Linked DNA regions of Danio rerio. The protein of the gene in region 7 interacts with the protein of the main gene of each other region in a pairwise test. Links are inferred from orthologs where the notes say so. Each region holds a gene or a part of one and is shown on either strand. Other genes may lie near its edges.

Region 1 (2,334 bases), on a different chromosome or scaffold from region 7:
TTAATGGAATAATTAGAGTTAAATTTGTTAGTTCTGCTTATATTTTGATATTTAGTTTGATATTCTTTTGTAAAAAAAAAAATGTAATCTTTAGTAAAACCGTTAAAAAGAATAACATTTTAATAATTTATATTTAGTTTAACTAATGTTGTCTTTGCTAATTAAATGCAATTGGATTTGCTATCAAAAAGACGTTAAGGCAACCTCAAATAAAGAAAAACCTATATTGAATGTCATTTGTGCCATTACAATTTTAAATACTGGATTTTACGTTTGAATATGCTTAATTGCATTTTTAATCTGATGTTATTGAATGCATTTGTGATTGTTTTTTTGTGATATGTGATCTAAATATTGATCTAATTTATGTGGTGAAGCCAAATTGTGTATTTTTGGACACGTTTTAGGTTATGATTTTACATAAAATTTGTGTTTGTATGTATGCATCCATACATACACCCCCCACAAATCTCTCATTTAAATGTAATCTTTTCTATAGGATGCTTTACAATATTATCTTTGTGCATATACATTAGATTAGTCAGTACTGAAGCCAAATCTGGAGCCAATCTAACAAAATCACCTATGATAACGGTCCAAAAACTAGTACACTCAAATTTATTTTAGGGAAAAATGTTAAAAACTGTCAAAAATAGCAAACAGCAATTGCTCTTTCATCAGCCTGTACAGAATGTGGGTTTATGGTGTTTGTCTCCCTCTGCAGGTGGTGAGGACGGCACTGCTAGATGCTGCAGGTGTTGCATCTCTCTTGTCCACCGCTGAAGCTGTCGTCACCGAGATCCCCAAGGAGGAGAAGGAAATGCCAGCTGGAGGAATGGGAGGCATGGGTGGAATGGGAGGAATGGGCGGCATGGGCTTCTAAACTGAAATCTGCACTGACTTTAGTAGAAGGGTTGTGGGCAGGGGACATGATTTGCCCCTTCCCTTCAGCTTGGGAAAAAAAAACCTGCCGTGCTGGTGGTCTGAAAATGGAGCAAAAGAAATGGACCTTACGGTCTTTCATCCTTCCACCCACCACTATGTCCAATTTTCTATCTCTACTCGTGGCTGAAGACGATGTCAACCTACTGCTTTAAAGATAAAGCTCCTGATCACGTGACCAGAGAGGGTCTGAACGCCTTCAGTTTGCATCATCAGCGTCTAATGGGAAAAGTGCATTTAACATTTTGCTGTTGTATGAATGTCATTGTGCATATGACTGGTTCTGAATAAGTCCATCTGAAGGGGCTTTAAAAGCCAGACGTTCATGTTAAAATGTGGTAGGAACATTGACCAGTTGTATCTATATAAAAAAGAAAAAAAAAGCAAATTCCACTTGATCAGTTCTTGTTTTGTAAACTGTCTGTCTGTTTCATATAAAAATAAAACCCTCGTTTGAGGATTACACAACTTTGACAAAGCATGTGCTTGTTTTGCCTTTCAAATGTTACTTTTAGTTTTCTACATGAAATGGGAATCATTTGATATCTGGTTTAAGGGGCCGTTCTTTCAGTCTTCATCTTCAGTCGCATCTTTCAGTCAAGATTAGAGATTGGTTGAGTGGAGGGAAGGGTGATCTTGTTGCACAGCAGATTTAAACAATATACTGAGTACATGAAAACAACTGGTGTGAAGTATGAATAACTCTTAAGTAGTGCAACAGAATAGTGTTACAAAAATTGCTGTTTGTCATGAGAATTACTTGTTTGATTTGATTTGATTTTTTTTTTTAAGCTACAACGATGATCATTGACTTTTTTTTTTTTTCCTTTTGTACAATGTAGTCATTAATTCTGTATTTTTTATTTAATAAAATTTAACATTCAAAGAGAAATTAGTTATTGTCTTTGTGATGCATTAAAAAATATTACGTGCAGAATGGATCAGTTTAATACAAAGCCCAGGCTGTCATGCCACACATCACACTTACCCTGTGAATGTAGTATATGTAAGCATAGGAGTTGTTTATTGTTGTTGTTGTTGGACCGGCCAGGGAATTATTATCAGCACAAGTACACCACACTCTTCCACCCACCTCCCGATCCTTTTCTCTCCCATCTCTTGAGGGAGAGAAAAAATAATAATAATAATAAAATGAACAAATAAATTTGAGAGACAGAAAAAGAGAAAGAATAGTACAAAAAGAGATGTAAAGACCGAATTATAATGTGGGAAAGTATTAATAAAATTTCTACTAAATAGTTTTTATTTATTTTTAATTAGATTAAATATCAGAGACAGTTTTTTAGCTCTCCCTGACCCCCTCTCCCCTCATGTTTACGTTCTGATGAAGGTGTTTTTGGGTAGTGGTTTCAGGCAAGGGAGACATCTTCA
Region 2 (3,500 bases), on a different chromosome or scaffold from region 7:
TTTGAAGCTGATCAACTCACGCTGTGGTTGACGAAGTGGGAAATGTTTCCATAATGAGCAGCATCCACGGTATACTCATCGTCCACATAATCCAGGTCAAACAGGTAAGTGGCGCCCTCTTTATCGTATACATGACCTCGGCGTTCTGCTTCTTCTGTTGTGATGATCTAAAGCAAAACAGGGAAAAAGAAGAAAATTTAACAACTACAAAACTTGCTTCTTTGATAGACAGCCAAACACAGCCACAGCTATCAGACGGAAACTAAACTGTTAGATAGCTGCTAGACAATGCCATTATCTACTAGTGAAGAACAACATGTCCTGGTGATAACAGGGCAGCAACGACAATGTTCAACTGAAGAAGAGTTGAAATACAAAAATTAAATACAATAAAATGTAAATAACTACAATATTAATCGACAAATTATTGATCAACTGTGTGCTGTGTATAGAAAACATCAGCTAACTTTAATAACATTATTTTTAATGAATTTATCCAATTAAGTGAAAAAAATAACAGCTGAATAACACTTTATTTGGCATTTAACATTTAAAAATAGTTGCATTATAATTATTATATAATAACATAATTAGATCAGGGTTTCTGCAGGTTTCACCACCATTTTTAGACCATTATGAATAAAATTGTAGATTCATACAGGGCTAATTGCAAAGGATTTTTTTAAATATCCCGTTTAGAAAAGATTTTCACTTGCTCTATCTAAAAATTATTAAAACTCAATACATTCAATAATACAATAATAATTTAGTTATTATACATTTATTTTATATTTTTTTATTAATTTTCAAATATATCCATTTACAAACTATAACCCTTACCAAGAATAGAACAAAGCATAGCTAAGCTGTCAATTGCTTCAGTCTACAATAACAAATAATAATAAAAAAATAAATATTGTATCCTCAGCAGCAAACAAATGGAGAACTTTAAAGCAAATGCTAGTGTGAGGAATGTAATTAGTTGCTCTTTTTAAATAAAAAGTTAAAAGTTTTATTGAGATTGGGATTGCCGGTGAATGTATGGGTGTAATGGTCAGATACATGAACAAAGGAAAATTAAGACCTGTTAAAAAAGATCCTGCAACACAACATTTCAGTAGATTTAAGACTTTGTAAGGCCTAAAATATAGCTTTAGAGATTGAAGACATTTTAATACCCTGCGGAAACCCTGTTAATTAATTAGAATTATGTTTTTTTTTTTTAAGTGTTACTTTTTGCTGAAATTAGGAACTTTAAACCAATCCCCAAACTAATAGCATAAATAATCAGAAATAAATATAACAAACAACCTAATTGGTAAAATCAATAATAAAATTTCACCGTTCAAATAATTATGTTTTAATCTAGTGAATAGAAAAAATAAATCAACAGATTTACGGATTATCAACTAATCGTTAGTTACAGGCCTTAAATAAAAATAATAGAATGTTTACATGCATCTAATCCAGACTACAACTAACAACCCAACTCAATCCCTCTCACCTCGCCGACATACTCCATGACGAAAGTGTTCTTGCGAATTCGCTCCATGGTCCGCACTCCCCATCCCCTGCCATTGTCCGTCCTGAAAATGCAGAGCGAATACCGGATGCCCCTCTGCACCACTCTGTTGGAACAGTCAGGCCCACAGCGGCACCTCTTGTTGCATTCATAAATGGGCAACCCAGGCCGAATGCGGACCTGACCCAACTCATTGTATGCAAACTTATGCTGGGACGCTCCGGCACAGCAACCCTCCACAGGGCTGGCCAAACAGTCTGTGCACTCACAGCCCACGGACACCTCGTTCAGCAGGATCCCATCTCCAACTTTATAGTCATTAATGTAGGTGAAGCTTTTGGGTGGACCCTCCAGATCCACCTGGTTGCGGACAGAGATGTAGCCCTTATGGGTGCCCAGGCTGTTGAGGTGAGTCTCCCATTGTTTGAGGGTCTGCCGGAGTTTCGCTCGCTGAGTGAGGTGTGTTACAGTGGCGGGGTCTAGACGACGAGGGGCAGAACGTTTATTCTGTCTCTGCATCTCTGCATTCAGATCCTCCCAGAACTGAGAGAGCAGGTTGACGCACCTCAGGTTCCTCCGTGGTTCCCATGTGTTTCTGGATTCTGGGTAGCCTTTCCATTTCACCAGGTATAACTCCTGGGACAGAGAGGGAAAAACATGGAAGAGAAAGTAGGATACAGTTTTGTTTTAAGTATTTTTACTGTTTAAATTGCACAAATTTTACCGCCATTTCAAGATTTAAGAGAAGTAGTTTGTGTCTCCAGAATGTGTCTGTAAAGCTTCAGCTCAAAACACTCGTCAGATTATTTATTATACATTTTAGAATACTGGAATTTTTTGCTCTGAACATAATGTAGCTGTTTTTGTTGCCTGTACCTTTAATGCTAGTTCTCCCCACCCACCGCTCCCACGTGCTTGTCAGAGTGTGCCTCAATCTCCGCTTCAGCTGCATCGGACACAGGGCACAGCGACAGACAAGAAGGAAGCAGATCTCGCGGAATGTTTGTGAGAAATATTACAAAAAAAACCTCGCAATGATTATTTGATGTGTGATTTGTTGTGGAGTTAATTTAAGCTCTTTGGTGAGTCACACACAATGCTGTTACAAAGTTCACACTCACATATTTATATCTTAAATTATACAAGTTCAATAGATATTAAGAGTGAAATGAGAGATATATACTCATTGCAAAAAAAACATTATACAAATATTTACAATTGCTAGATACAGGGGATGGACAATGAAACACTGGCCAAATTGGTGTTGGAGGTTTCATGGCTAAATTAGATCAGCCTTGTGGCCAATGTTCATTGATTGCATATTCCACCAGTAAGAGCAGAGTGTGATGGTTTGATTGGAGTAATAGCACAGTTTTGCTTTAAATATCGCAATGCACACAACAAGTCTTTGTGATGTGTCAAGAGCTACAGCATCCCGGATAATGTCAGATAATGTCTGTCTGAAAGGCATGTCTGTTTGCTAGGGCTGTGCGATTATCGAAATCGAATCACAATTTGAAACGTTACCATTACTAATTGCGATTTCGATTACTAGCACAGCCCTAGCACCCAGACATCCCTTTCAGCCAGCTTACCTTTGCATCCACAGTTACTCTTGTTGTCTTACTAGCCAATTGAGTGAGCACACTTTCGTTCTGCCCAATCAAAATTAAATTTCGCAACCGAACTATGGCCACAATAAAATAAAAAAAAAAGAAAACAAACAGGAAATTGCTGACAAGTGGCATTATGGCATCTCCTGCTTCAGAAGCATTGATAGACGAATTACTATCAAAGAAAAATAGCACTTGTAATATGGGAATATTTTGGTTTCAAAGTCATAGACAGCGCAGAATGTTGCCTGTCACAGCATTGTTGCCACGGCTTACAGATTATTGAGCTAAAGCTTGACTACAAATTAAACCGTTAATCAAATTGCAATTACCATATCCTTCAAAAAAAATTGTTTTGTATTTTG
Region 3 (3,460 bases), on a different chromosome or scaffold from region 7:
CCGTAGTGTGTGTGTGTGAATGAGGGTGTATGGGTGTTTCCTAGTACTGGGTTGCAGCTGGAAGGGCATCCACTGTGTAAAACTTATGCTGGAATAGTTGGTGGTTCATTCCGCAGTGGTGACCCCTGATGAATAAAGGACTAAGCTGCATGAATGATCTGTAGTAGTAAATGAATCCTGAGTAAACCGTGTCCAGTTAATCTGCAGTCTCAGCTCCTGCATTGGGATTGGCTCCTTCTCTGATGACATCAGCTTGAGTTTCAGACACATTATTCTTAGTCCCGCCCCTCTTGCTGTTAGTTAGCTATGAGGTTATGACACTGAAGTCCCGCCCCCTGATCAATATTCAGCTTATAAGAGCATCAGCACACTGCAGTGGGAGTGTCAGAAACTCAAGAGCACTGTGCGGAGTGTGATCAGCTCCTCGAGGAGCAGAAGCATGACGTTAGCGCTAATGCTAACAGTGATGGAGGAGGAGAGTAATGCAGCAGAGGCGCGGCTGATTATAAAGAAAGACTTTACTGGAGAAAACAGAAAGCTGGAGTCACAGAACAGTCAAACAATCATTAAAACAAACATGAGGAGGCGCAGCTGACCAGCACAGCTCACAAAAGCACACACACCGCCTCTGTGTGTCTGTGTGTCTGTGTGTGTGTGTGTGTGTGTGTGTGTGTGTGTGTGCGTGTGTGTCAGATCTTGATGCGGAAAGCGGTGGCGTGAGCGGCCGGTGTCTCGCTGGCACTGCTGGCCGTCTGGCTGGAGGAAGAGGAGGAGGAGGAGGAAGACTTGAAGAGCGCCTTCAAGATGGTCTGCGGGTCCACCTCAGCTGCAGACGAGGACTTGGAGGAGCGGGAGGAGGAAGAGGAGGAGGCCTTCTGTGCGGACAGCGGAGAACCAGGAGTATCACTCAACCTCCTGCAGGACACAAGATGGAGGACATCAGAGGAGGAGGTGGAGGAGGAGAAGGAAGAGAAGGAGGAGGAACAGGAGGAAGAGGAAGAGAAGGAGGAACATGAGGAAGAAGAAGAGGAGGAGGAGGAGAAAGAGGAGTAGTAAGTGGAGGAAAAGTAAAAGAAGAGAAGGCAGAAGAGAAGGAGAAACAGGGGATGAGGAGGAACATAAAGAAAAAGAGGAACAGGAGGAGAAAGAGGACGAGAAGGAGGAGGAGAAAGGAGGAGTAACAGAAGGAAGAGGAAAAGAATGTGGAAAAAGTAGATGGAGGAGGAGAAAGTGGAGGAAAAGGAAAAAGAAGAGGAAGAAGAGGAGGAGGAAGAGTAAGTGGAGAAAGAAGAGGATACGGAGGAGGAAAAGGAGATGGAGGAGAATGAACAGGAAGAGGAGGACAAAGATGAGGAACAGAGGGAGGAGGAACAGGATGAGGAGGAGGAGGTGAAAGAGAAAGTGAAGGAGGAAAAAAAGGATAAGGAGGAGGAAGAGCAGGAGAAGGAACAGGAAGAGGAGGAGGAACGGGGAGGAGGAGAAGGAGAAACAGAAGGAGGAGGAAGAGGAAGAACAGGGGGAGGAGGAAGAGGAAGGATGAGGAACAGGAGGAAGAGGAGGAGTAACAGGAGGAGGAAGTGGAGGAGGAGCAAAAGGAGGAGGAGCAAAGGGAGGAGGAGGAGAAGGAGGAGCAGGAGGGGGAAGTGGAGGAGGAGCAAAAGGAGGAGGAGCAAGGGGAGGAGGAGGAGAAGGAGGAACAGGAGGAGGAGCAAAAGGAGGAGGAGCAAAGGGAGGAGGAGGAGAAGGAGGAACAGGAGGAGGAAGTGGAGGAGGAGCAAAAGGAGGAGGAGCAAGGGGAGGAGAAGGAGGAATAGGGGAGGATGAGGAAGAGCAGGAAGAACAGAAGGAAGAGTAGAAGAAAGAAAAAGGAGAAGAGAGGGAGGAAAAGGAGGTGATGAGGAGGATGAAGAGAAAGAGAATGTGAAAAAAAAGAGGAGAGGAGGAGGATGTGAAAAGTGAAAGTGAAGGAAAAGGAAAAAGGAGGAAGAGGAGGACGAGGGGGAAGAGGAGAAGGGGGCAGAGGAGGAATAGAAGGAGAAATAGAAGGAGGAAGAGGAAATGGAGAAGGAGGAAGAGGAGGAGGAAGACTGTAATGTAATGTAATGTAATGTTCTTTAATGCCATGTCAGCATATAAGGCTATCATCATGGCAGGAACATTTCAACAATACAAACACAATTTAATATCAGCAAACACAAGAATACACAGATTAAAGAAGAGATTCAGTGTTGACGCACGAGACACATTCTAACATCTCTTCTGGTGTCACTGCGCTAAAATACGAGAGTTCCTCTGATATAAAGTCTGCAGGAGTCAGTACACGGTGTTGTCCAGTGAGGGGAGATGTGCAGCACAGACCCTCAGCAGAGCTTCACCCGCAGCTGCATGTCCAATACCACATCAGGAGAACAGCACCTGATCAAACCTGGCCTGAACACTGACAGAGATCTCATGTCATGCGTCATCTCCTCACACACACACACACACACACACACACACACACACACTCCTCCTGCCGCTTGAGTACAATGCAAACGTTAATGAAAGATCTCAGCCCTGACGGAGGAATCAGCCGCTTGTTCAACACTCGCGACAAAACGTCTTGGAGGAGGAAGAATAGTGCAGGTGTGTGTGTGTAGTAGACAGGTGTGTGTGTGTGTAGTAGAGAGGGTCTTACAGTAGGATGGGCTGGTCAGACGTGATCACGCTGCCCTGCATGTGCAGATTACACTTCATCGGCTGACCTGTGCACACACGCACACACACACACACACACACACACACACACACACACACACACACACACACAGACAGAGCGTTACTGAGCTTCTGCCAGCAGAGACTTACAGACATTAATGATGCAATGATGGTGTGTGTGTGTGTGTGTGTGTGTGTGTGTGTGTGTGTGTGTGTGTGTGTCTCACCGTCCAGACAGCGGTTGTTGTACTTCCTGTAGGCACTGACTGCATCCTCCTTGCGCACAAACACCACCTCAGCCACGCCCACTTTGGCCAGCCGTGCCCGCTTGAGTGCGCCACACACACAGAACAGCTCCTGCACACACACACACACACACACACACACACACACAGAGAGAGAGAGAGAGAGAGAGGAGAGAGGTCAGTGTAGATCAACTCTTGCTTTCTCCCTATAAGGCTGTAAGTAACCCAGCTCCTGTTCATCTGACCCAGCTTCTGTCCCGCTACAGCCCAACCCGCTCTTCAAGAGCTCTAAACTCAGGACTTCTGAACAGCAGAGTCCACTAAAGGAGGTCGAGTCTCCTCATGTATGGCTCCTGAACTCTGGAATAGACTCCTGATAGAGGCTCAGACACACTCTCACTAGAGGAAACACCTATCTGTTTAGTCAGTTGCTACACAAGTTGCGTAGTGTGTGTGTGTGTGTGTGTGTGTGTGTGTGTGTGTGTGTAAGGAGTGTATGAACAGCACACAGGAACTCA
Region 4 (4,179 bases), on a different chromosome or scaffold from region 7:
TAGTGATGGTTTCATCCCCTTTTGCTTCTTGGAAATTCTGTGGAGCACAACCAGCTCAGGAAATTAAAATATTAATATATATATATTTTTTTATTGTGAATCAAAAGTCATCCATTAACAACTAATGAGTCATAATCTTTCTTAGGAGACTACTTCATCCTTATTAGGCATATTCTCAGGAGTGTTCTGCAATGGAACGGTCCAAAATAACTTATATGAAAGCTCATAAATCAAATATAATGTGGATTTTGTTTCTTTAAAAAGAACTCTTCTTTTTAAAAACAACTCAAACCTAATAATCTGATTCTAGCACTTCTGATAAATAATATTAGTGCTCCTAATGCTCAAAATAACAGCTCTCAATTACACACAAATCCCTCCTCACGACACTTCTGATCAAGTCAACATTTAACTCCATATGGCAATTGTATATATATTTTTTCTTTTCATACAAATATTTTATTAATTTGACTGAAGCATCACATATTCCATGGGGAGAAGGAGAATGACACAATGTAAATGTAAATAATGAATCAGTTTTCTGAACAACTGCATAAATAAATAAAGCACTACTGCCTTTCAGCACCCAATCTCTACTGACTCAGTGACAATAAATATGCAAAATTCCCAACTGGCATTGAGCTCTAAAAGCACAGTGACCCGTCCAACATTTCTGGGCTGAATGTGGAACTCAGGGCCACTGATGACCCAGAAAAACAGATGAGCTCAAACTCAGCACCAATGTGACAAAACGCCACCCACTACAAACTCCTAAATCAGACACAACAAATCATACACCAAGGTTGAGCAGAAACTAAATATCACTGCAACAAATACAGATGCAGCACAATTTTCCCCTAGCGAAATGAAATATAACTTATACTCTCACATGAGCCCGACTGCACGCAGACAATATCAATCAAATGATATTACTGCCAGTATAGGAGTAGTATCTGAACTATAATTGCTCAGATGATTAAACAGTGTTATTTGTAAACATAAATCAACATATTCTTAATACTAAAACTATCATCAATCACTTTAATTCAGTATTTCACAGGACAAATGAACGCTTGAAATTGAGTTAAAGAGTTTTGTATTGCATAATGAATTAGAAATAACAAAACTGGGGTAAAATTTGCAGTTAAAATAAAAATTCCTTTGTGGGAAAAAAATTATTCACAAGGCAATCAGAAAACTATTTGTGGTAGGGCTGCACGATATTGGAAAAATTTGACATTGCGACATTTTGATTTTCTACAATATTTATAATATTAATTTCACCAGATTACTTGAATAGCTCAATTTGGAAATAACTCAAACGTTTATATTAACTGAGATGATCTCGTAGGCCAGATAACCTGCTTAAATTTTGTTGCATTTTTTGTGGAGTCTAACTATATTCGAGTATAAGCTAAATAATCAAATGTAAGCAAATAAAACTGCATAGTCGTCAATTTATAAAAGTTAATGCAATATATCTTCATTGTTATAATTACTTAAAGGCCTCTAAACAAATCAAACAAGCACTCTTTCACTCTATTATAATCACTAAAAATATAGTTCTTGGTCAGCTATAATTCCACTCAAATTTTGTGAGGGATGAATCAACTGAAGCTGAACTTGCAGATCCTGCGATGTGACTTATGCAATTACATTGCAATATCGATGTTGAACCGATATACTGTGCAGCCCTAATTTGTGGGGTAGGAAGTTAAAATTGTATCTATGTTTTGACATGTGACCTGCGATCATTTTTATAGCAGAACTGGTATCATGAACCAAATCTGAAACAGCTCCATTGTGTGAAAGCCTTTTGTGTGTTAATTACCCTTGAATCATGAGCTATGATCTATTGCATATATTGAAAGTGCATTAACCATGTTTTTTTGTGTATTTACTTGTACGGCCACAGTTTTATCATGGTTAAACTCATTAGTGTAGCAAAACGATTGTTAATTTGGCGTTACCATTGATTAACTACGAAGAAAAAACATGTTTTTGTAGTAAAACGATGGTTAATTTAGTGTATTGGTGGTTCAATATGCTATTGTTTACTAATTAGTTAACTATTTTTATACTAAATGTTGGTTAAAATGTTAGGCCTACATATTAAATTAAACATATTACATTAAAGTATATAAAATAAAACTTGAGTGTTGTTGTTTAATGTGTGGAGTAATTATTTCATAAAGTAAATCCTTAGCTTGCCATGGATTTTAAACGGCCATGTTTTCAGTAACACAGTACGTTACAGTGTCACAAGATTTACAACACAAACGTTACTCTTTACATTTGACGTAATGTAGTTTACACGAGTATAAGTGACATATAACCACTTTAATATAAAGCAGACAAGTAAAACTATGAACCATTAAATCAAAGTTTCACAAAACGCCAAAACCCTCGCTCTCTCTAATAATAAAGTGTAAACCGCACACATAATTGTCGGTTTCTGAGGTGTGTGTTTCTCCAACCTTTGACTCCTGCTGGCTGATGGATGAGGGGGACTGAGGCTCCCGGTGGTCCCGCTCGTTCTCCTTGCCCATCGTGTCCTCCTGAATCATGTTTGCTGGCGGAATCATGCCGATAACAGTTCAACAGCACCAATCTGTCGGGTACGTCTGGTGCCAGTCGCACTTTACATGTTGAGTTGAGCTGGAAGTTCTGAACTGGCGAACGCGCTGAGGATAACGGGTCTGAATGCACACAGTCGCACTCGCCTATCGACTTTCCATCGGTTTGTTCATTGCATAGTGGAGACGCACAGTCCGTTCCAGATCTGCTCTCTTCATTAGTCAGGATCGTCGTCCGTCCAGCAGACTGACTGGATCTGACTGTCAGCCTGTGGATCAGCCAATCAACTCCCGCTAAAGGAGGAGTTCAGCTTTGATGGATTCCGTTGCTTTATTTTTTAGTGAGCAGACGTGTCTCTAATCTTATTCACATTCAACAATAAAGTATTAGTGATTATAAAAAGTAATAATATTTAATAATACAAATAATGTTAACATCTTTCTTTCCTTCTTTTCATTTTTCTCTCAAGTATTGGGTTGATTTTTTAACCTAGTTTAATTTAATGGTTTCCCAATTAGGTCTAAATAATTAGACCTTTCAAAACAAAAAGTATTTTAACATTCAAATTTATGTGTAAGTATATGTGTAACAGCATATGTTTTTATGTCATTGTAACTTATTAAACTAAGTGAATCATGTTCTAACTTAATTTTATGAGTTACGAAAGCTGTTTTAAGTCAGTTTAACATTATATGAGTTCAATGGACTCATAGGTTTAATCTGATTCAACCAGGATTTTTTACAGTGTTTATGTTACAGGCTATAACAAATAATATTATTTACCAAAATTGTCTTATATAGCTTAAAAATCATGTTTATATATATATTTGTCAGTATATGTTTTTCATTATATACAACTCTGTTATCAATTTGTAACACATACAGCAACTGTATTGCTCATTTCTCTTGGCGTATTATTATTTGATTTATTATAAAAGCCACAACATACCTAATTTATTTCAATTCTTTAGCATATGTTTTTTATAGAAATGTGTGTCCATAAAAAGTGTCAATGTTATCACTCATACTTTGCCATTAAACTGGTGACATTAGCTTTCCCAATTACACACACAAACACACACACACACACACACACACACACACACACACACACACACAAACACAAACACAAACACAAACACACACACACACACACACACACACACACACACACACACACACACACACACACACACACACACACACACACACACACACACACGCACAGACAAAAGCTTAATTTAATTGAGGGCAGGATTTCCATCTAGTAAATTTGTTTAGCACCAAGAAAAATCTATTTACACAATTAAGTGAAATTAAGTTGGTCCAACATAATTTTAAATAAAAGTTGAAATGAATTTGTATTTTTATTTAACTTAAACTCAAAGGTCTGGTAATATCATGTATGCTTACGTATGATTCATTTTGAGGTTTTTGAGTTTTATTTTAACTATTTTAAGCATATTTCATCAGTTAAATATACAGTTGTTTGAGACAGTTATTGCTCACTGAGCAATGCAACAAACTGCGTTTTTTGCTTATTAAGCTGCAAACATAAAAAAGTGGTACTTCTGCAAGGTGGTAATCATAAAACTCAAAGCA
Region 5 (4,110 bases), on a different chromosome or scaffold from region 7:
GAATAAAAGCAGTTATTAATTTTTTTAACACAATTTATGAGACAAGATTATTAGCCCCTTTAAGCAATTTTTTTTTCTCGATAATCTACAGAACAAACCACCGTTATACAATAACTTGCCTAATTCCCCTAACCTGCCTAGTTCACCTTATTACCCTAGTTAAGCCTTTAAATGTCACTTTAAGCTGTATAGAAGGGTCTTAAAAAATATCTAGTAAAATATTATTTACTGTCATCATGGCAAAGATAAAATAAATCAGTTATTAGAAATAAGTTTTTAAAACTATTATGCTTAGAAATGTGCTGAAACAATCTTCTCTCCATTAAACAGAAATTGGGGAAAAAAATAAACAGGGGCGCTAATAATTCAGGGGGGCTAATAATTCTGACTTCAACTGTATATGGTGTATATGGTGTATAAAACAAACAGAAGATTAAATGTTGTGCTACTTATGGAATCTATAATATGAAAAGATATTATAAGAGGATAACAAAACAAAAATAAAAGGTTAATAAATAAATAAATCTGTTATCCAGTTATCAACAGAACATATATCGAGACATCAAATTAAATCAAGCATATTAATATTCTGTTTGTGACTAGAATATCATTAGTGTATAGAGATTTTTCATTATTCACCAGCATTTACACACAGATTAAACAAATATTAAAACTCTAACTTGTCAGTCCGCGGGTCTTTATAGACGTCTCCAGAAGATCTTTGAAGACGTTCACCACCTTGGCTGGCACAATGTCACCTTCGATGGTCATGCGGGCATCGTGCCACTCCTGACTCGGGTTGACAAAACTCTCCAGCTCAAGCCATTGGTGGAGCTTCTCCGGCTCACGAACAGGTGAGAGGAGACGAGAGCCAGTCAGTGTATAATAACGCCACTGACGTGTCCGTCTCTCTTTATAGCCCATCAGGCCCTGCAGAGGCACTGAGATCAGGTACAGGGTTGGAGAGAGGACCTGCACAAGTCACCCAAAAAAAACATCAAACTAATCAGTACATCTATTCTGTTTATCTACTGTATAATATAAGCTTTTCTTACTCTGACTTTTTGTCTTTTGTCTAGTCCAAAAATATTAAAATATAATTTTCTAGACCTGGGGTGCCACTGTAAAAACCTTTAGAATATAGATCTGAATCAAACAGTGCACTCTGGCCTATGTAAATGCTGCAAAAGTACCGCAGCAAAAGTATTTGTAGCTGCATGCATGTTACATAATAACACCAGTTAAAGTTTACAACAGTAAATAGGAAAAGTACAATTTTGACACCATTTACTTGTTTCAAACCTGTATGTCCTTCATTCTTCTGCGGTACATTAAAGAAGATATTTTAAAGAATGTCCAATGATAATGGTGCCAAAATTGGTTCAGCTCCCCATTGACTTACCTAGTAATTTTAATTATAGAATTTAAATGTTGGGGTTGATCTATACCTTTTTAATAAATACTACTGCTTACTTGTATGGCAGGGTTGTATGCACATCTCCCTCTGAGTAATGCAGACCATTTTGACATTAAAGCAGGCTGGTCCTGAATTAGATTGTGGACACAAGAAAAAACATGATGTTATAAATCCAGCATTATAATGCAGTTAGTATTTTTTATATAGATGAGGCCTATGTGAAGCATTACTTTGAGGCTGGCGTTATGAACTCCAGCATTTGCGATGGACTGGAAGCGAGCGTCTTTTGAGCTGACCTCCGTAGTAAGATCTTTGATGATTTTCTGCACATCTTCGACACACTTTGAAACCTGCCGATGTCTGAGATCCACCTGACGATACATTTAACATCAGAAACAGCAGAATAAACCAAAAAAGGAATGTTTTTTTTATTTTTATTGAATCTATCTGAAATACTACACTAAACTCAAATAAAATGAAACTAAATAAAAAGAAATCCTCTAGCTATTTGTTTATTATTTTTATTTTATTAACACAAATTTTAAATAAAAAATAAAGAAAATAAACAAGAAATAAAAACATTACACCACTAAGACAGCATAATAAACAAAATAAAATAAAATAAAACAAGTTATGCAACTACAAATAAAATAAAATAAAAATATTTTATTACCATACAAAAATAAAATAAAACAAGAAATGAGGAATAAAAAGAATAAAGAATTAAACATATTTTCATCTGACTACAAATAAATAATTGAATAAATAAATAAAATAAATTAATTAAATTAATAAATAATAAATAAAAAATAAACAAATAAATAAATGCTATGCAGCCTGTGTTAAGAAAAACTGGATAGTCTAACAACAAATAGATATTTAAGTAAATAACAACAACAAAAAAAACTAACAAACATGTCAATTATGAAGACTATGGTAAGATGTAAAGATTGTGAGTAGTACAGCATATTCGCATATAAAACATTTAAGCTAAAAACAAGACAATAACACATTCGATTAGAGCAGAACAAACACTGAATAAAATAATTTTTAAAAACTCTAAAAATAAGCCATCTAAAATTATTATTGTTTAATTAAAACACCAAATGAAATGGTTATAATAAAAACTAATAACACATTAACAGTTTAGTTTAGATCTCGGTGCTCAATAAAACCAATGACAGCATAAGTAGGTCACCTGATTTAGCAAATAGTTATCCAGATCTTCATCTGTGCAGTTGGTCATGTTGTAGTCTACGCTTACAATAAGCTCTTTTCAGATGCTATTTTAAGTCTTCTTTTCAGCAGCAGAGCTTAATGTTGTGTCTTTGTGGCCTTTTTTGCAATTCTTTTGTGTCCCTGTGTACGTGCAACACAAATCGCACAAGGGAAAAGCACTTCAGCAGAGCCATTGATTTCACAATATTGATTCCCGAGATGCTAAAAAGCTTGTATGTTCCTCTGGGCAAATTAGTTCACCAATTGCTTACTCACATGACCGATCACACTCATTTGAATATAAACATTTGGTTTTAATCCAGCAGACTGCGCCATATGCTGATTATAAACACGCAACTGGATCACAATTGTTGTTGTTAATGTTGTTTATCAACTTACGTGAGTTGGAATTTATTGAATTAAAGTATGCTAAATTTAACAAAAAAAAAAAAGCATTAAAAAGAGGCCATTATAAAGGCTATATAATGTAAAACTACACCAAGCCTCTGGATTCTCATACTTCACATACTAAAATAACATGAACAAAAATATGCATGTATTGTAAACAATATATATCAACAATGAGAGCAACTGTGGGACAAATCAAATATTAAGAAATAATCAAATGCTTAAAAATAATATACAATAACTTGCCGGCTTAATTTTTCAGTTTGGAGCCCTCTGTAGCCTAAGTCAAAAACTCATTGACCACTATACCAATTGTGGATGAATTGGATGACCTTACATGGTTCAATTCAGTACAGATCAGGTGATGATGATATGAAAAAAACCCTGTCACAATCACTTGCACTACAGCCTTTAACATACATTGACTGTCTGTGGTGAAGATAAAGTGAACAAATGTCTAAATAAATAAACAAACTAAATGTTATATAGGTATTGGAAGTGGAACTTACAGCACAGTATAGTCATAATCAATAAAGAAATGTCTGATTGAATGAATGAACTAATTATTAAATAAAGGAAATGTTTTGTCAATAATGGAAAATACGGTAATGTTTTATTGTAGGCAGAGAATTATAAACACTTAATAGAGTTTGAAGGTTGTATAACAAAATAATAAAAAATATATTATTATGGAATTTACTGTGAGACATTAAAGGGGTAGTTCACCCAAAAATGAAAATTACCTCACCCTTTACTCTCCCTCCCCTGTGGTTTTATGAGATTATTTTCTGTTGACCAAGAAGATATTTTGAAGAATGTTGGTTGCTGGCACACGTTGACTCCTATAGTAGGAAAACAAAAATAACTAATGAAGTAACAGAATATCTTATTTTGTGTTTAACAGAAGAAAGAAACCTTTGGTTTGGAACTAGTAAATATGAGTAAATGATGACAAAATTGTAACTTTTGGCTGAGCTATTCCTTAAAGATTGCAGCGTGTGTAACAAGATCAGGCAACAAGGCAACAAAACACACAGTCATTTAACAAACCAATCAATACATATTTT
Region 6 (4,031 bases), on a different chromosome or scaffold from region 7:
AAAACTTTATAAAAGTTCACAATGCTGATGCAGATGAAATAAAACAAGTATAAAACTAAACTTTTTTTTTAAACTGATTTGAACGGTAAAGTCTAGAAGGGATGCAGCTGCATATATTCACATAAATATAGCATCATCTTTGTGACACTACAACAATAATTTATACTCTTACATTACTGCGAAGGGTAGGTTTAGGGTTGGGGTAGACTTTAATAAAACACAATTTAATGAGTAATTAAACAAATCACATAAATAATTCTCATTACAATGACAGTTTTTACATTATGGTGAGAGTTAGGTTTAGGGTTGGGTAGACAATAACAACATACAATTAATGGGTCATTTAATAATATAAATAATTCTTGTTAACTTCCAGCTGCAGATGTATCCCTTCAAGCAGCAACCCATTTAAACCCCATTACCTAAGTCTCCCCCACTTAAATGTTGGTCTTGTGCATCCACCATGTTTATAGTTTTTAACGCTTTTTATCAGTGGTTGCAGTTCTACAGAAAATAATAGCCCTTCTAGACAACTTTGGAATAGCCTACTCATTTAAACACACTACAATTTTGAACATACTCATTTTTTGTTTGAGGTATGCAAATTGAGATGTAATGAGAGTATCTATGTTACATACTGTTCCATGCCTTGTGTCTTACCTTTCGGTTTCTTGGCAGCTTTGGTGATGACAGCTGCAGGGTCATTAGGGGACAACCAGGACACCAAATCTGTCTCTACATTCCAGTAGTAAGGAAGCCCACTGAGGACAAAAATTACATATAAGGCTTATTTCATGTAAAGAATTATTTATATGTAATGAGCTTCAATCTGAAATTTGGGGCATTTATCATGATATGACTATGTTTTTTGTAGGATTTTAGGATTAGCATGTAGGATTAACATGGATATGGTAGTTATTCAAAGTCATTTCATTTTAGTGCCTGTATCAAATTACATTTACAAGTTGTATATGTGTATATATATATATATATATATATATATATATATATATATATATATATATATATATATATATATATATATATAGCATACTATGAAAGCTAATACATTTGTCTACTTTAAAATAACATTTAAAAAGCATGTCAAAATAAGGGTGAAATATTTTTAGAATGTCATTCAGGGTAATAAACCCATTCATCACAGCTTTGTAATTAATATGTACTTATGATTTACATTATATTTTATACATTTATTCCATGCAATGACAATTAATTTTGTGGTAATCATAAAATCCTTCAAACGATTTTCTTTCATTCAGTTATATTTTCAAATTTCAGAATCAGGAAGTTTTATTGATTAAGACAAATATTAACAAATATTCTGTGCATTCAGACCTTCTTAGCTTTGTCACATCTATAATGCTGTATTTTTTACCAAAAAATATTTTACCACTGATATTTTTAGAGTCATCTAAGAGCCCATTACTACAGCAATATTTATAGATTAGACCTAAATATATGCACTGCTTTTTATCTTATTAAAGGTTTGCAATGTAGCATTAGGAAAATTTATATTATTCAGCAAAACTCAGCTCATAAAACTGGAAAATAAAATAAAGGTTGAAACATGAAATGCTTACCAGGCTGAATCAAAAACTTTGTACCAATTCGATGGTAAACTTTCAATCCGTGTAGCTTCATAATCCACGTTGTTATCATCATAGTCTTCAGCAATAATCTCCTCCTCTGCTTCTGAAGATAAAAAATTATAAAATGCAGTATATTAGAGAGTGGAATCACCAAATTACACTTTATTAATTGCCTATTGACTAAAAGTGATAGTTCACCAAAAATATTCTGTCATCATTTACTCCCCCTTAACTTGTTTCAAACCATGATGAGTTTTTTCCTTATGTTAAACACAAAAGAACATATTTCAAAAAATTATGCAAACCTTTAACCACTGACTTCCAATTGGGTTAAAGTTGGTTTTAAATTTGCACATTCAGACTTTCTCCATAATAACGTAATTTTAGAAATATATTCTTTGTAAATTTTAAATGGTGAAATCATACTAGCAGCCAATGACTATCAAAAGTAAAACATTGTTACAAATAGTGCTATACTTGCATGCGATTTCAGACCGAATACACAAAATAGTGTGGTAAACAATATAGAGAATGTGTCACAAGTTGTCACTGAAAGAATGTGCGAATATAAAATCAACATTACCTCAATTGACTTGACAAATACTATGAAAGTCATTGGTTTTCAGTATCAGTCATAACTATATTTTAAGAAAAATGAAAACCAGTAACCACTGACTTCCAAAGTATTTGCTTTTCCTACTATTGAAGTCAATGGTTACTAGTTTCAGCATTCTTCGAAATATATTCTTTTGAGTTCAACAGAAGAAAGAAACTCATAAATGTTTGAAACAAGTAAAGAGTGAGTAAATGATGACAGAGTTATCATTTTTGGGTAAACTGTCTCTTTAAACAAGCATAGTTATGTTACCGTGGTCGGACTGTTTCACGATCCCTCTTTTAGCGAGTCGTGCAAGTAAAGCAGGAGGCAAAGGCATCTAAAAAAGAAAAGCAAAACATCTCAGTGATCAGTGTTGACGAGCCACGAGAAACTCGAACTAGCCACAATGTAAAAACTGCTCACAGGGTGCATGTTTTATATGCATGTAATATACATATTATTCTGTGTGCAATTGTATTATGAAATAAATGACGAATGTAGCATTATTTACCTTTCCGATGTCCAAATATTTAGTTATTTGACCACAGTTTCATTGAAAAGAGGCAAAGCAGCGAACTGGGCGCGTAATGATGACGTTGCCGTGACGTCTCCTAGGATTACTACGAACAAAACGCTTCGAAATGATTCTCCTTTCTTTCACTTTTGATGTCAAAACCTATTATTATTGCCATACATTGTATATTTTTTGTGAAATAAAACAGACAAAATACAGGACTTAAAAATATTCAATATTTAATCTACATCTAACTTATGCATGTAACCAAGAAGGCATATTAGAAGACCATACACGTGAGGTAAAATAACTGTAATATTACCTTGCAATATCTGGCAATACTTATTTTACAAGAGTAGAGAGAGAAAGATACTGATTACTATTGTTTTTTATTACTGTTAAATGTACAGTTTATTCTGATCAATTATTTTTGTGTTGATTTTTATGAATAATATGATATGTTGAAAATAACATGATCTATTGAATGTTAATGCGATATATTGAATAATGTTATGATATATTGAATAACATATGGTTTTATTTAATTACTATATATAAATATCATATTTTTACTACTACTATGCACTGTGTTTATATGTATGTTACGTTATATTTAAACTTTAGAACTGCTTTGGCAATGCATCTGTAACATTTGCCATGCCAATAAAGTAATTATTGAATTGAATTGAGAGAGAGAAGTAAATAATAATATATGATATATTCAATAATATGATATATTATTTATATTTTTGTTATGTGTGTGTGTGTGTGTGTGTGTGTGTATATATATATATATATATATATATATATATATATATATATATATATATATATATATATATATATATATATATATATATATATGTATATATATATATATGTGTATATATATATATATATATATATATATATATATATATATATATATATATATATATATATATATATACTAATATATTTACTGTGTCTTTATTATATATGTATGTTTTTCTTATCTGTAATGTAAACTTTATAAATGCTTTGGCAAAACATTTGTAACATTTGTCATGCCAATAAAGCAACTATTGAATTGAAAAGCTTCTCAGTCGCCCTCTGGAGGAGAAAGACAGAATGGCGCAGCTGAGCTGTCCCTTTGCCGCTCTGAAAGCAGTAAGCTACCACGAAGAAAACTAAATGTAGGTAACAAAGCAGTCAAATTGTATTAAATATACAAGCACTAAAACGGAGACATTGGGAAGTGTATTAGCTGACAAAAGCAAAAGCTTACAGCACCTGGTATTCCCAGGCGGTCTCCCATCCAAGTACTAAC
Region 7 (3,500 bases):
GACTGGCAGGCTCTTTGCAGATTATTCCACATGGCAAGGCTGCTCTTAGCACACAACAGCAGACTAAATATATACCCTTCAATGCCCATCTTTGAAATAAACTCTAATACACCAATTCACAAGATATGCAATGTGCTGCTAATGCTTGCTTGCCCTTTTTTTTAGAAGTTTTGTTTTATGTTATGGCCTTTAAAGTTACAGTATGTAATATTAAAACATTAATCATGTTGGTTACATGGATAATTTAAAGAGCTAGAAACCTAAAAGTTGTTTGTTCGATCCCTGCAAAGAGCGCTATCATTATTGTGCAATTTGTTTTTCAACTTGTGTGAAGTTAAGTTTGCATTGTAGATGAACTGCCACAGACTAAACGGCAAAAACATTACATTTTAAACATTTAATTTCGAACCTTCCGGTGGAGAGAGTGTTTGCTGGTGCTTGCTGGTGTTGAGGTTATGCTACAAAAAAAATATTAAAAACGAAAGAACGATAAAACACCAAAAAAGATTACCACACAGATGGAGGAGGTTGATGATATCAAGCGATCGCTGGATATGTTGACAGAAGAAGTCTCTGTTGTTAGACAACAGCAGAAGACGATCATGGGCCTGGTGGAGGAAGTGAAAGCCTTGAAACTACAAAACATTGTAAAAGAAAAGAAAATACATACATTTTTGTATGTAATGACTCAGGTAATGAAATGAGAACTATTAGTTTTATGAATATTCAGTATTCACAAGTTAAGTTAATCTTGACTGACATGACATTAACAAATAATAATGTTATAAAAGAGCAGAGAGTTATATGAAAGCAATTGATGCATGTCCAAAGGCATTTGCAATCTGTTGGAAAGAATGATAGACTGCTACTATGATGTGCACAAATGACAATTTGTTTTGAGAAATGCATTAACTGTTGTGCAAATGTAAATAGTGTTGTGAGAAATGTATCAAAGCAACTGAGAAAAACTGTAATATGGAAAACAAACTGTGGCTGGCTTTGTTGCGTCTCCTGTTTTCAAAAGAAGAGTCCTACATTAAGTACATAGTAAATGTGATATAAACTTTAATGCAGTTAAAAATAAGGGAGGGCTTTATTAAAAGGCTTCCTTCTAGTGGAATTTCTGAATAACTAAAGTAAAAAAATGAACATACTTTAACCCTTTAATGCGTACGATAACACCAATGTGATCAGTAAATTTTTTTTAAAAGGCTGAACCTTTCATTTTATTTTCAATTTTCTAATGTTAGTTATGTAATCTCCTCCACATATTTGTAACGGTTGTTGGGGGCGTATTTCGTATTTTTATATCCCAATGTTGACAGGTATGGTTTAATCACTTGCTTTTATGACACACAAAGCCTACTCTAACGCACAGTAAGCAGATTTAATTTCTAATTTAAATATGTAAATCCAATTCCTTTATTTAAAATATAAGTTAATGTTTAAATTTCAAAGATATACAAATAATTTATATATACATTCAACATATATTTCAAAATGTATCAAAAAGAGTTCATATATGAATATTATGACATATAGCTTATATTTATGAGGTCCAAGGAACATTACCAGGTTTTGATGGATAGGCTACTTTTTGTTAATGCTTTTAAGTACAGCTGTTTACTTTTTAAGAACAGTGCCACATATTGATTTAAACTGTGACTCTTTATTTCTTTTTAATTGTAAGCACAGTACAATCTTAATGTTCAAACTATTTATAATGTTTAAAGTGGCTGACAATAATAAATATTCATAATAAGAAGACTTAATCTGCCACGCTTTTGCACTGTGCAGTGATGTAGCTGCTTAATAAAGCCTACTGCGCTACTGTATTTTAATACTGGTCATTATGGTGGTGCTTGGAGAGACACATTTTTCCTGAGGTGGTATTTGGTGAAAAAAGTTTGAGAACCACTGAGCTAACCCAATGTAATTGTATGTTGTTTGGCTGATTACAATCCACATGAAACACCGACAACTTCATTTTTGAAAAATACATGTAAACAGTTTATGCACACTTGATCAACATTTTGCCCTCCATCCTGTAGTTGCTAAAATTGTTGAATGCTACACAAAAAAAAAAAAGTTTTGACCATCTTGTCACTGTAAAGCATTGCAAATTAAGAATATTACATTAGGTGAAAATACACTTCTCTATGGCTAGTTCCTAGAACAGAGTTCTGTAACTACCTGTTGAAAAAAGCCCATCGAGATACAAAGATTTTTTTTTTTTGAAAAGCAACCTGTGGCTATACTCTGAGTACAATGAGAAATTTAAGCTGTGACATCAACATGTTCATGTGTTTTAAAATGATGAAGCTAGTGTAATTATGACCAACAGAATAATCTATTTTACAGGATAAATGACATCCATGCCAATTACAAAATCTTTATTCCTTGTCCACTGTTTTTCTCTCTACAGAGTGTGTGTCCTGGTCGGGTGTTCACCATGGCTCTAGTTCAGGCACTGCCTGTACCCACTGATCACCCAAAGCCCAGTACTGACGTCCAGCAGTGCTGCTCAGTGTCTCACTCCCCCACAGTAGATGTCACTGGCACCATGGGTTCTGTCAGCAGCCTCATCTCTGGACGTACCTACCAGGAACGCCACTGTCGAGCCGCCAGTGACTTTGGTGCCAGATATCGCAAACCCACACCAGCTACAAGCTGTTTTCGACAACAAGAGGGCACACTGCGCAGCTCCAGCTCACAGGAGCAGCTTCTGAACAGTCAGCCTCCTCTACCCGCTAAGAACAAGTCTTCTGCCCTCATCTCGGCTGGCAATGGCAACTATGGCTATTTGAGTGATGAGCCAGTGGGTGATTGGAATGATAATCACGTGAGCACATGCAGCCCATCCAGTGACACTGAAGAACCTTCTGATAACAGAGGCATGAATGGTAACATCGGTGGACCTCCGCCAAAACTCGTCCCAGTGTCAGGCAGGTTGGAAAAGGTAAGTCTTGGAGTTGATCAGTTGACATTTGAAAACAAAAATAATACAATAAATTGTAAATTAGTGACAATGTATTTAAAAAAAAATTAAGATATAAAGTGAACCAAAATGCAGTAACCAAGAATACAATCAGGCAGGGTTTGTAAAGTTATTTCTAGAAGTATACATGATTTTTTAATTGATATCATGCAGATATTTTTCAAAAGAGACTTACTGTAAAAAACTGTTTTAGTTAATTTAACAGTGTTTAAACCCTGGACATTTCTTAAAGCATTTTCTTTCTAATGTGACCCACTGTTTCGTTGTTGAGGTGTCATTTAATTGTTTTAGTATAAAGAATGGCGGCTGACAATTCACACATCTATTCAGCTTTTCCTTTCCAATGAAGAAGGAGAGCATTTAAATACTGCAAAACGTCAATATGCCATCACTCACCATACACATTTAATCAATGATACCTCATTACACTTACAACACTAAAAGATGGTGTTCTTGGAGGTTTAATGCATTTAATATTTTTAAGATACACATGTGAAATGGC

What was found.
Region 1: the proteins of lzts2a (region 7) and hspd1 interact in binary tests that used the Homo sapiens proteins (3 or more experiments, as listed by UniProt). The two-hybrid records come from large-scale screens. The link is inferred for Danio rerio from reciprocal best matches to the Homo sapiens genes LZTS2 and HSPD1.
Region 2: the proteins of lzts2a (region 7) and suv39h1b interact in binary tests that used the Homo sapiens proteins (3 or more experiments, as listed by UniProt). The two-hybrid records come from large-scale screens. The link is inferred for Danio rerio from reciprocal best matches to the Homo sapiens genes LZTS2 and SUV39H1.
Region 3: the proteins of lzts2a (region 7) and poldip3 interact in a two-hybrid assay, tested with the Homo sapiens proteins (2 studies listed by BioGRID). The two-hybrid records come from large-scale screens. The link is inferred for Danio rerio from reciprocal best matches to the Homo sapiens genes LZTS2 and POLDIP3.
Region 4: the proteins of lzts2a (region 7) and stac interact in binary tests that used the Homo sapiens proteins (3 or more experiments, as listed by UniProt). The two-hybrid records come from large-scale screens. The link is inferred for Danio rerio from reciprocal best matches to the Homo sapiens genes LZTS2 and STAC.
Region 5: the proteins of lzts2a (region 7) and mab21l3 interact in binary tests that used the Homo sapiens proteins (3 or more experiments, as listed by UniProt). The two-hybrid records come from large-scale screens. The link is inferred for Danio rerio from reciprocal best matches to the Homo sapiens genes LZTS2 and MAB21L3.
Region 6: the proteins of lzts2a (region 7) and pqbp1 interact in binary tests that used the Homo sapiens proteins (3 or more experiments, as listed by UniProt). The two-hybrid records come from large-scale screens. The link is inferred for Danio rerio from reciprocal best matches to the Homo sapiens genes LZTS2 and PQBP1.

Annotation. Positions count from the first base shown.
Region 1 is NC_133184.1:33,966,192-33,968,525, reverse strand, and holds the end of hspd1 (60 kDa heat shock protein, mitochondrial), read left to right. Parts: intron 1-724; coding exon 725-883; 3' UTR 884-1,834; downstream 1,835-2,334. UniProt on the Homo sapiens protein: Chaperonin implicated in mitochondrial protein import and macromolecular assembly. Together with Hsp10, facilitates the correct folding of imported proteins.
Region 2 is NC_133183.1:27,652,840-27,656,339, forward strand, and holds part of suv39h1b (histone-lysine N-methyltransferase SUV39H1b), read right to left. Parts: exon of another isoform or gene 3,110-3,500; intron 3,003-3,109; exon of another isoform or gene 2,159-3,002; coding exon 1,505-2,158; intron 168-1,504; coding exon 21-167; intron 1-20. UniProt on the Homo sapiens protein: Histone methyltransferase that specifically trimethylates 'Lys-9' of histone H3 using monomethylated H3 'Lys-9' as substrate. Also weakly methylates histone H1 (in vitro).
Region 3 is NC_133178.1:302,981-306,440, forward strand, and holds the end of poldip3 (polymerase delta-interacting protein 3), read right to left. Parts: intron 3,055-3,460; coding exon 2,925-3,054; intron 2,745-2,924; coding exon 2,678-2,744; intron 916-2,677; coding exon 690-915; 3' UTR 501-689; downstream 1-500. UniProt on the Homo sapiens protein: Is involved in regulation of translation. Is preferentially associated with CBC-bound spliced mRNA-protein complexes during the pioneer round of mRNA translation. Contributes to enhanced translational efficiency of spliced over nonspliced mRNAs.
Region 4 is NC_133192.1:26,131,154-26,135,332, reverse strand, and holds the start of stac (SH3 and cysteine-rich domain-containing protein), read right to left. Parts: upstream 2,801-4,179; 5' UTR 2,586-2,800; coding exon 2,478-2,585; intron 1-2,477. UniProt on the Homo sapiens protein: Promotes expression of the ion channel CACNA1H at the cell membrane, and thereby contributes to the regulation of channel activity.
Region 5 is NC_133184.1:37,578,258-37,582,367, reverse strand, and holds the start of mab21l3 (protein mab-21-like 3), read right to left. Parts: upstream 2,801-4,110; 5' UTR 2,664-2,800; coding exon 2,616-2,663; intron 1,789-2,615; coding exon 1,648-1,788; intron 1,546-1,647; coding exon 1,474-1,545; intron 973-1,473; coding exon 681-972; intron 1-680.
Region 6 is NC_133183.1:43,445,467-43,449,497, reverse strand, and holds the start of pqbp1 (polyglutamine-binding protein 1), read right to left. Parts: upstream 2,801-4,031; 5' UTR 2,720-2,800; intron 2,546-2,719; coding exon 2,479-2,545; intron 1,714-2,478; coding exon 1,602-1,713; intron 762-1,601; coding exon 661-761; intron 1-660. UniProt on the Homo sapiens protein: Intrinsically disordered protein that acts as a scaffold, and which is involved in different processes, such as pre-mRNA splicing, transcription regulation, innate immunity and neuron development.
Region 7 is NC_133188.1:20,766,707-20,770,206, reverse strand, and holds part of lzts2a (leucine zipper putative tumor suppressor 2a), read left to right. Parts: intron 1-2,425; 5' UTR 2,426-2,452; coding exon 2,453-2,962; intron 2,963-3,500. UniProt on the Homo sapiens protein: Negative regulator of katanin-mediated microtubule severing and release from the centrosome. Required for central spindle formation and the completion of cytokinesis.